3 linked regions of the Drosophila melanogaster genome follow. The gene in region 1 interacts genetically with each later gene. Each region holds a gene or a part of one and is shown on either strand. Other genes may lie near its edges.

Region 1 (3,753 bases):
TACAGGTAGTTAGAAGCTATTAGTAGCCTTTCGCTAGGCGGAACAAACGATTACTGAATGGAAATGAAGGCGGTGCTGGTTATATGCTTTCGTATCTAACACGGTGAATCGATGTTTTTCGATAAGGAATTATAGTCACTTAAAGTTATCTTTGGGCAAAACCAAACGTCACGGGCTTATCAACTACAGTTCTGGTCTTCTAATAATCAAAGATTTTTTGTATATATAGTGACACTAATCGGTTTTAATAATAAACTGAAATATTTTTCAAACAAATGAAACGGGGTATAAACAAATTAACTATGTAGCTACCAAAAACATCGATCACCTTGCTATCTACAGTTACTACTAATTAACTACAATTAGCAGCGTCATGTTGAATTTCGCCAAAAGGGCGATTAGATTAGTAACTTATCTACCAGTGCAACTAAAGCATGCATAGAGTGATAAGAAAGTGTACTTTTGGGTGAATCAAAAACGATTTTATGCAAACTAATGGCTCTAGCTAATGGCTTACATCGACTGCTGCGCGGAATGCAGCGGGTGCCCGAGGAGACAGCACCGCACCAGGGAAAGCAGGCCACAATGGCGTCCAACTGCTCATAGGTATCGCTAATGACTGTGCAGCATATCCCAGATTATCCAGAAGTGTGCAGGAAGAGAGGAGAACAACATAACCGTGTAAGCCACTCCGAAAAATGGAAAACCATCAACCGAATCGAACAGAACGTGAGAAAGGTAAACCAAAACAACCCAAAGAGAGTGCAACCAACAGAAGGATAATTCGTACTTGAGTTGGACACCTCCTTCACGTACTGCAGGGCCAGTCGTTTCAGATAGTTGGCATCCTCCTCGGCCACGAAAAAACCCATGAAGTTTTGACTCATGTAGGGCTCCAGTTTAAGGGGGCGATCCAACAAGGCGCCCGTCATGTCCACCACCTGTTTGAGCGCCTTGGACAGCTGCAGCGAGCACTCATCGGGGGCCTGTAATTTCGATTAGGTGAATAAATAAAGTCTGGATAATCCAACTTAAGCTCACTTTAAAAAACGAAACCAGGGTTATGTGAGGCACGTAGTTGTGTGCTCCATTCCAACCGCACATTTGGCGCGACTTGGCCCAGAACTCCTCCAGCTGCTGCAGAAACGGACCCGTGGGACAAGCATATATAATATATTCCCTGGGGGCGCACTCGTCCAGGGTGCCATCGTTGACATGTGCCAGCAACCAATCCGAGGCAATCTGGACACCACGATTACCAGTTGAAGCCAAAGCTTTCTCCCTGTGTAGGGGTAAGCAAAAAAATCAATACTCTGATTCTATGAAACAAATCAACATAGTGGGTCACTCGCACGCATAGCCACTATATCTTGGATGGAACCTAGAGCAGCTGGTGACTGCCAATACGCTATGCATAGAAAACTCACGCTCTATGCCTGGGAAACCCCATTTGGAGCAATGTTTGGAGCGGCGTCAGATGCTGCTTAGAGATGCAGATCCTCGTAGGGGTCTGACTCTTACGCGGCGGAAGCGTGGCCATTTCGATTATAGCCTCCTATGTAAGCCCAGGTGACCACCGTTTAGCAGCTTTTGGTTTTTCCTGGCTGTTCAATATTTTTCAGTGATAATTTCAACAAAAATAGGATACAATTCGTTAATTGGCCACAAAAAAGTGTTGGCTAACGACAGCCTAAAGATAGTCAACTTCTACCGATAGCTGTAACACGACTGCACTATCGATAACCAGTACTGACCAGTAGAGATGAGAGCGATTCTCCTAGCGAGACAACAACAAAATTCACTGCGTAATTAATTGAATATTTTTTAGTAAAACCGAAGCGCCCCACAAAGAAACAGCTCTTGGAGTGTTCACCAGTGTTCAAAGTGAGTGCCACTACAAAAGGAATTAGGCGAATAGCAAAAGCAAAGCGTTAAAAAGAGTGTTACGCAGCAGGCGAAAAGTGCATGGAAAATGCCAGTGGAGCCCCACATCAAACATACACACGCACACTCGAAAAACGTACACAACAAAGACCCACGCACACCGACGCAATTAGTGGCGTAGTTGTAATGGTGGAGCACAAAAACAAGTTGTTCATGGTCTAAAAAAGGGGGGCGGGGAGTTTATCTCCCTTTGGAGAGTCCACTTTCGCACTATTTTCGATTGCACCATAGTGACTCCCCCTGCCATCGAGGACTTTGAGGAAATGGGCGTTTTCCCAGGCACTTTTCCTGGTATTCCAGACCCGCTTTATTAGCTCGACCTCGTCTTTGTCTGTACTCAGCGCACTTTCTCCGCTGCGCCAATAGTGATCACGCTTTATCGCCTCGATGCGGGCACCTCCCTCCCCTACTGACCGCCTGTTCACACAGTCCAGCGATCACACACTGCGGATTGCTCAGAGTGACTCACCCGATTTGTTTATCACCCAGCACGGCGTAGCACAACTGCTCGTCATTACAAACATTTTACAGCTGCGAATGGCTTGCACTTCGAGCACTTAGGCAGTCAGGTCCTGGCAGAGATTACGGCTTTCATTGGCATGTAGTTTAGACTCTAGAGGTTTGCGCAGTTCACTTTCATTTATCTTAGGAAAGAAACCATCACACCCCTACACTTCCTAATCGAATTAGAGGAAACCGCAATGGTATTTTTAACACACAATCAATAATATTCTGTGGTTTTCAGCACCAAATACCAAAAGAAATAACCCCGAGTAAGCCAACGCCACAAACTGCATCGAAATGTCCGGACGTAAGAAATCCCTACTGAAAGTCATCATTCTGGGCGACAGCAGTGTGGGCAAGACCTCTCTGATGAATCAGTATGTAAACAAACGCTTCTCCAACCAATACAAAGCCACGATCGGAGCTGATTTCTGCACGAAAGAGGTGGTGGTCAACGACCGAGTGGTCACAATGCAGGTAAGCACTATGAACTTCCAGTAATCCTATTTCAGTGACATAACTCGCAAAATTTCAATAACAGATCTGGGACACTGCTGGTCAGGAACGCTTCCAGTCGCTTGGAGTGGCGTTTTACCGCGGAGCCGACTGCTGCGTGCTTGTCTACGATGTGACGGCGCCCAACTCGTTCAAGAATCTCGACTCCTGGCGCGACGAGTTCCTCATACAGGCCAGTCCACGGGATCCCGATCACTTCCCCTTCGTTGTGTTGGGCAATAAGGTGGATTTGGACAACCGCCAGGTGTCCACGCGTCGAGCGCAGCAATGGTGCCAATCTAAGAACGATATACCCTACTACGAAACGTCCGCCAAGGAGGGCATCAACGTGGAGATGGCGTTTCAAGTTATAGCCAAGAATGCGTTAGAGTTGGAGGCGGAGGTAAGAAATCCTATTTAAATATTGTTTTCCATACTAAATCGAACTTTGTACTTTCACACAGGCTGAAGTTATCAACGATTTCCCCGATCAGATTACCTTGGGCTCGCAAAACAATCGTCCTGGCAATCCTGACAACTGTCAGTGCTAATGTAACAACAACGCAAAATGGATAATTACACAATCTATATTATTAAATAATATTTCCAACATAATAATGAACATGAGAAGCAAGCAACACAAAGGACGATAGAGGAAGGTGTTATATGATTAAGTAAAACAATTTCAGCAAAACAGCATAGTAATTAATTAACTGATAGGATGCAAAGTTCAGATTCAGATCAACATCAGCTGAGTCTTAACGAGCCTCTGGCAAAGGCTTAACCAGTATACCCACTTTCCTACGACCT
Region 2 (3,753 bases), on another chromosome or scaffold:
GCAGGTGAGTCATCGCCACGCCGACAGGCCATCAGAATCAGGCAGTAATGCTGATGCACCCTACTCTTTTGCAGTCCCCGCAAATACCGTGGATCAAGGACCTCCACCAGCCTGAAAGTCAAGGGACTTTTGGGCCGCGTGTGGACTCGGGACTCCAAGTCGAAGAGCTGCGAGAATCTGCATGTACTCTAAGCACAGAGATTATCCAAAGTGTAACCCACAAGTTTCCTATAGAGTATGCAAGATCCTAAGTTAAAGAAGAAACAGACTCGACTACTACCGGGGGTATTATTCCCAACTGTACATATTGTGTATAATTTTAGTCTTAATTTACGCTAGTCACTTCCTCCATTAATCATTGTATATAGTTTGTCTAAATATAAAACTATTATTTGTAATTGGTTTTTTATGCTCTTTCGTTTTCCTCTAAGCATGAGTTGGGATAATTTTGAATGCTCGTTGTAATACGGCGACTGGAATAAATTAGTTATATTTTTGATTGAAAGAAATCGTAATACAAAGGAATCCAAATAAAAAGCAATAATTTTTAAAATGAGAAAATAATATTTTACCCTTGTTCGTGGACGAATGAATACCAATTGTACTGATTTTTTGAAGATATGGCGCTTGTCCGCCGAATGAAACTTATTGTTAATTATATACGTGTAGTTATACATTTGTAATGGCATTGAATCTCGTTTTAAAATGGCATAAATATTCACATGAATGTTGATTGAATTAAAAGTTCATAATATAATTGATCGATTGCAAACCAGAAACTATATTAACCACATTGTGCAATTTTGCTTAAATAGACCTAGGGATTATTATGCCGTAATTGTTAAACAAAACCATTTTTTTAAACAAAGAAGCCCATCGTGCACCCACAATCCGCACGCCCTAGGTTTCTCAAGTTAGTCGGGACCATTTCAAAATTAATCAAAGATAGCAGAAATACGAAAGAAACACTAGATTTACACAAGGGCTACTTTTAGGTTCATGTCAGCGTAGTTTTACATTAATGCAATATGTGATTTTACACATGGTCCACTAAATCAAGAGCCTAAGCAAAACCATTTTGTTAACGTGTGCAATGCGACCTGCTGTATCAAATATTGAGGTCGGATCGAGAATTTGTAGATTTTTAACTATTAATGTGAACACTAGTAGTGTAGGGCAAATCACACAACTATTCCATAACAATCTAGATGTCCATTAAATGTATTATAAATGTCCATTAAGTATTATAATCACCAACAATTGCAGCACAATGGAATTTAACGGATTTGGAACATTCAAGGAAACCCCCAAATAATACGTGCATCCTAACATGTGTGTAAGATATCCGATCTATAACAGATAGTTAAAATATATACATATAGCTGTAATTGATTTTTGTCCAGAACTCTGTGTATTATTCTCGCTCAACATGAATGAATATGAATTCGAGCCGAAAACTATATAGGAAAGTGATAAAAGCACACTCGATTTTGCACAGATTGTCATATGATGTATAAGGAAAAGCGAAAGTCAGCCATAAATGTAAGAAGCAGCAGAGTGGTGAAAAGTTATCAATTGAATGCATGTTTTAATTTTTCCGCTCCGATAATATATGTCTAATGAGTGTGTATTAAATGTGAAAAGTTAAATTTAAATGTTTTCCAAATCGTGTTTTATTTTGGGGGTTTAATTACAAGGTGCACGGTCTGCAAGCAGGGTAAGTAAAAATTAGTTTAAATGTTGAAAAATGATTTTCATCCATATCATGATTAATTGACTATGTTATATTGTACAAACGTTCACATTTTTTAAAGCTTGCCATAGTAGCTTTCGTTACTATATAGATACTCACCACACTTGATTTACCGAAACTGTTAGCTTACATAGTATGTAGGTATGTATTTGCTAACAGACAGCTTAATTGTTATCTACTTTGATGTCGTGGCATTTGTTTAATAGAAGTAAATTTCGTTTCACCATTTACATGAAGAATAAAGAAGAAAAAGCTATGATAAATTAAAAATTAATACAATTTTACATTTTACTCAATAGTAGTATTTCCAATTAGAACTCTGTTCCAGTTGGAATTCTTCGGTATATTTGGTATATTCCTGGGAGAAACAATGGGTCACACTACGAAGTAGAGGAAATAAATACAAACAAATTGGGCTGTGTAGCGGAATTTAAATTTAAACTTTATCAACGGCAGTGTTAATTAGCGAACCTCTCGGCAAAAATGAATATAAATCTGCCGAATTTCAATGTGAAGAACCTGGTGAAGGAGGCGGGCAGCACAATATCACGAGTGGTGCAGGTGAACAAATCAATGAATTTGGGTGGCTGAAAAAAAAGCGGGTGGTGGTGAACTTTCGGTGGTTGGGCAAATGACAGATGTACCCCAAACCAATCTCAAGCACTTTCGTTGTTTCTTTGCCCTTTTCAACGGCTCTCCATTGTTTTCAATGACCTTTTCAGCTCACGGAGGAGAAACTGGGCACCACGGAGCGCACCGAGTACGACTTGCACTTCCAGAATCTCGCCGAGCGGGCTGATGTGACCAAGACATGGACGGAGAAGATAGTGCGCGACACAGAGTCGGTGCTGATACCCAATCCTCAGAACCGGGTCGAAGACTTCATCTTCGAGAAGATTGAAAAGTCGAAGCCAAAAAGGTTGAGCAACCTAGAGCACCTGGCTCTGGACATGATCGAGGCTGGGGGCGATTTCGGGCAGGATTTACCCTATGGTCAGGCTCTGATCAAGGTCGGCCAAGCGGAACAGAAACTGGGCCAGTGCGAGCACGACTTTATAGCCACCTCGGGCATTTGCTTTACACAGCCGTTGCGCAAGTTCCTAGACGGCGAAATGAAGACAATTGGCAAGGAGCGAGGCATCCTGGAGACCAAGCGCCTGGATCTGGACGCCTGCAAGAACAGGGTGAAGAAAGCGCGCAGCATGCTGGGTCAGCAATCGGTAAGTGGGTGGGATTTGATGGGGTTTCCTTATTGCAAGGGGGTATGATTGATTGGGTTTCGTAATGGCTTTTTCACTCACGGTCTTTTTCTGCCCTCTGCTGCCCGGAATTTTTAGAAAGATGGCATCTCGCCAGAGGCCGTCTTGGAACAGGTATCAAAACCTTGACCGAGCTCGTGCTCTAGATTTATGGCTAATCAATGAGCCAATTTCTAATTGCGATTTTTTCTAGGCGGAACGGGACTTGCGGGTGGCTCAGGCCGAGTTCGACCGGCAGGCGGAGATTACCAAGCTGCTGCTGGACGGGATCAGCACATCGCAGGCATCTCATTTGCGCCACTTGCACGCCTTCATCCAGACGCAAGTGCGCTACTACAAGCAGTGCGGCGATGTCATGGAGCAGCTGCAGCGTGAACTGGCCAAGTAAGTAGTAGGCGATCGATAGAGAATGACTGTGACTTCCACGTAGGCACCAAACGAATCTTTTCTTGCACACCAAAACACCATGTCCCATCCTTGATGAAACCCGTGGTCCCTTCTGGTGGTCTCACTGTGCGTTATGATATCTGCTTGTGGTCTTACAGAATGCAGCATCCCAAGCCACGCCTGCGTATCAATAGCGAAGACGTTGATTGTGGGCCTCCCAGCTCGGTGTCGATGCATTCTTGTGATTCCGATTCATTAGGGGGGATAGCCCTAGATAGCGATCCAGATCCCGATTTGGACAAGTCGCTTACGAATCTGCTCGAAGACTTTCACATAGAATTCGATACGACAGCC
Region 3 (3,753 bases), on another chromosome or scaffold:
TCTAATAAAAAAAGGAATAAGAAAATAATAAGAAGAATAAAGTTATAAACGTTCCTAAAGCCAACTTACCTTGCTGCTTGGCCCGAAAGCAGACCATGCGGATCCCTTTGCACCGTCCTGAACTGCTTATTATAGTACTCGCGCTGTTCCGGGGTTATCTGGTAAATGGTCACCAATTCGCTCTCGTTGTCATCGTCGTCGCTGCTGTGGCGATCGGAAGACTCTTCCTCCGTGCCTAGCAGCTGGCGATGCTCGTCGCCCAGCAAACCCTGCCAGAGGGTGTCCTGCGCCCAAGGCCGCTCAGCCACGCTGTTGGTGGGCGTGGGGCTGTCACTGTTAGTGCTCCAGGCTTCTGGCGATCCACCACCAGTACCGCCTCCTCGTCGTCGCTAAAAGAGATAAGGCATGGACGGGGATCGGTCAATGGTAAGCTTATTTACAAATGTCACAAGATAAGATAGAAGTACAAACCCCGACATTTTCGCGGCTGCTGCTGCTGACGACCCCACAGCCATCCGTACCTCGTCCATGGCCTGTCGCATCGTCCACTGATTCGTTTTGCTCAACCTCGGAGTCGGTGCTGGGCACATCAGAGGTGTCTTGCAGCTGCTCTTGCTGCGAGTTACGACGCAGTGAATTTCTGCGATCTGTGGGTGGTGGCGGTGGCAAGGCAGTCAATCCATTTTCGACAGCCACCGGAGCTGTAACCGCCTCCTTCCAGCTAAAGTGCGGTAATGGAAGCGGAAACGTGGCCAAGATCAGCTCCTGGCGCAGGGGCATGGCCGCCTGATGAGCAGCGATTAGCTTCAGGCATGAGTAGAACTGTGTCCGCGAGATGTGTAGCGCCGTGGAGGGTATCCCCGCCAGACCGGTGATCTATAAGCCCAGACCCAGATAATTAATCACTCACGATCACACAAATTGGACCTACCTCAATCACGGTCTCATTGGCGATGTCCGCCGAGCGAAAGAGCTCGGTGGCCTTAAGCATGGGCACCTTGCCTGTCTTCTCCACGTCGCAGCATTGGAACAACTCACTGTAGAAGCGCGTCTCCGGCTCAGTGAGGGACACGTCCATGCCTGTCGCCTACTTGTTGCCGTCTCTGGTTTCGTTTACCAAGCCGCTGGTTAACGAGCCACGCCCCGTTCGTCCGTCCTGGACCCGGAATCCAATTCGTTTGTTTACTTCCACGTTTAACCCAGCAGGCCAGTGCCGACCCCGCTGCCCCGCGCTGCTCACAACCAGAAGTCTGATGATTTTCTGCCTTTGGCCCCCAAGACGGAGTTGGAGGAGGTGGAAGCTGGGAGAACTGCGGGGACGATGGTTTCGCTAACTTCTTGGTGCCACCACAACCACGATGGTTAGAGGATTCACGGCACTGGTCGACGAGGGTACACCTAGTGCCTCAAGCTGCTCGGCGCACAATCAATTTGGCTTTTTGTCCAGGTTTTTTTTCGCAAACTCTTTTGCACTGTGTGTGCGCTGGCTCTCGATATCGATAGGTTGCGGTATCGATTCGATTAGACAGCTGGCGCGGCAGCCCTGTACCTGTTAGCGTTTCGCAGCCCTAGTTACCGGCAAAAGTTTAGTTCCGCAGGATTGATGTTTTGTAAGGTGGCTTACCATGTTCATTTATATTTCATTATGGATTAAACTATAATAAAATTTAATGTTGCTGAATGAAGAAAAAATCATTTCTTCATTATTTTTAACGATATTTTTTTAACCGTCAACAAATTTCCTGTAGCCCTGTGCCACTGACGTCACCAATTCGCAAAGACTTTCCTGCGTCACCTTTCGTTGCACCACAGTGATCCCCACTCTGTTATTGTTGTCTGCGGCTGAACTGTTGCGACGCAAAAATTTAAAGGATTTGAAAGTCTTTATAGACTTATTTTAGTTAATAAACAGCCTCTGTGCAATCAAGGATGTTCTCCAGAAAGAAGCCAGAGCCAGCGAAAAGAAGGCAACACGATTTATCGCAGGTGAGAGGAAAAACAAACAGTCTAGATCCGTCTATTTATTAATTATGACTCATCGTTTGGACTGTCTTTTTTGTTTTTTGTGTTTAGTTCGGTCTTACGGAAATCCCAGATGATTTTGATCCCAGCGCTGGATATGGTGAGGACGATGGGGGTGACAGTGATTTGGAGGCAGAGCTTGCGGCCATAACCGGCGGAGAAGGAGCCAAGCCAAAGCCCAAGCCCAAAGCAAAGCTGTTACCCGCCAGTGATTTGGACAAAATGATAGCCGACAGCTTGCGTGATGTCAGCGACGATGATGATGATGACAATTTGGAAAGCGATCCGGATCTTCTTGGCGAGCTGAGCGGAATCGGTGGTCTAGAGGAGGCAGAGGAAGAGGAGCCTGTCGCACAACCGCCAGCTGCCTCTGAGGAACCCGTCCAGACCTTTCTGCCCACGACGACTGTGGACACATTAAGCATTATCAAACAGCGCCTGGAAATGTACAAGCAGGCCGAGGCCAATGCCAAGACTGCCGGCGATTCTGGCAAAGCAAGGCGATTTGGAAGAGGCCTTAAGACTCTGAAAGATCTGCACAGGCAGGCAGCGGCTGGCAAGTCCATTAACGTGGATGACATTCCACCTGAAGTCAGTGTAAAGCCAATTGGCGGGCAGGCTCCTCCAGTGCCTGCAGAGGAGTCACCAGCTCCTTCCACACCTGCTTCCCCTCCGCCTGTGCCTAGTCGTGCAGCTCCAGATCCACCAACCCCCGGCACCCCCGTGGAGCCCACTACATCTGTGGCTCCCACATCTCCCCCTAATCCTCTTGTGACGCAAATGCGCAGCCGCCAGACGGACTACAAAGCTGCTGCACTGCAATCTAAGCGCAGTGGTGACATATCTACTGCCCTTCAGTTTCTCAAAGTGGTCAAGCAATTTGACGTAGTTATAAAAATGTGTGAAGACGGACAGGAAGTTGATTTGAGTGACATGCCCCCTCCACCAGCTGAGTTTCTTGAATTCCTTAAAAAAATGCAAGAAGAAGCAGCCGCAGAAGCTGTCGCAGAACCTACTGCTGCCCCAGAACCCACACCTGTTGCTCCTGCTCCTGTTCTAGCAGCTGCAACAAATATGTTGGAGGCTCTGCAGCAACGTTTAGAGAAATATCAATCTGTAGAAGCGGCAGCCAAGGCAGAAAACAATAGCGGAAAAGCAAGACGCTTTGGAAGGATTGTGAAGCAATACGAAGATGCCATAAAGTTGTACAAGGCAGGCAAACCAGTGCCTTACGATGAGCTGCCTGTGCCACCAGGTTTTGGACCGCTGCCTACGGCTGATGCTGCTCCTGTCGCGCCGACACCGTCGCTGCCCACTTCGCCTACATCTCCACCGCCAACAGCAAGTACTTCCGCAGGAGGAACACCCTCCAGTTCCAGTGCGACGACACCTACAGCTCCTCGAAAAGCACCTTCACCTCCTAAGCCCAAAGAGTTAACAACACGCACGTCTGGCAATCAGCAGAAGAATAATATTGCCGAGCAACAAATGAAACTGCTCCTCGAGCGCCAAAAGGAGTTTAAGCTAGCTGCTATAGAGGCCAAAAAAGCGGGAGAAATAGATCAGGCGAAGGAGTACCTCAAGATCTTCAAGGGATTCGATTCCCTTCTTAATGCAGCGAGTAGTGGATTGCCAGTGGACCTCAGCACTGTAAGTTTTGCATTACATCTTCTTCTTGTATGGCTAACTATATATTTTTTTTTTTCAGCTTCCCGTCCCGCCTTCACAAAG

Evidence for each region.
Region 2: of Rab7 (region 1) and EndoB, changing one suppresses a phenotype caused by changing the other (phenotypic suppression), as found in Drosophila melanogaster (one study listed by BioGRID).
Region 3: of Rab7 (region 1) and l(2)gd1, changing one suppresses a phenotype caused by changing the other (phenotypic suppression), as found in Drosophila melanogaster (one study listed by BioGRID).

What each region holds. Positions count from the first base shown.
Region 1 is NT_033777.3:23,991,257-23,995,009, forward strand, and holds the start of Rab7 (Rab7), read left to right. Parts: upstream 1-1,751; 5' UTR 1,752-1,884; intron 1,885-1,922; exon of another isoform or gene 1,923-2,020; intron 2,021-2,476; exon of another isoform or gene 2,477-2,563; intron 2,564-2,689; 5' UTR 2,690-2,745; coding exon 2,746-2,925; intron 2,926-2,989; coding exon 2,990-3,346; intron 3,347-3,407; coding exon 3,408-3,494; 3' UTR 3,495-3,753. Other genes in the region: Epp (ecdysteroid phosphate phosphatase), read right to left, coding at 518-619, 791-986, 1,042-1,282, 1,428-1,540. UniProt on the Drosophila melanogaster protein: Small GTPase which cycles between active GTP-bound and inactive GDP-bound states. In its active state, binds to a variety of effector proteins playing a key role in the regulation of endo-lysosomal trafficking.
Region 2 is NT_033778.4:19,309,036-19,312,788, reverse strand, and holds the start of EndoB (endophilin B), read left to right. Parts: upstream 1-2,123; 5' UTR 2,124-2,236; coding exon 2,237-2,314; intron 2,315-2,475; coding exon 2,476-2,973; intron 2,974-3,090; coding exon 3,091-3,126; intron 3,127-3,205; coding exon 3,206-3,396; intron 3,397-3,557; coding exon of another isoform or gene 3,558-3,753. Other genes in the region: Rgk1 (Rad, Gem/Kir family member 1), read left to right, coding at 1-4, 75-192.
Region 3 is NT_033779.5:11,105,136-11,108,888, forward strand, and holds the start of l(2)gd1 (lethal (2) giant discs 1), read left to right. Parts: upstream 1-1,807; 5' UTR 1,808-1,929; coding exon 1,930-1,986; intron 1,987-2,073; coding exon 2,074-3,672; intron 3,673-3,730; coding exon 3,731-3,753. Other genes in the region: Reps (RALBP1 associated Eps domain containing), read right to left, coding at 1-1, 70-389, 472-876, 932-1,078. UniProt on the Drosophila melanogaster protein: Phosphatidyl inositol monophosphate binding protein involved in endosomal protein sorting through regulation of the endosomal sorting required for transport (ESCRT) pathway.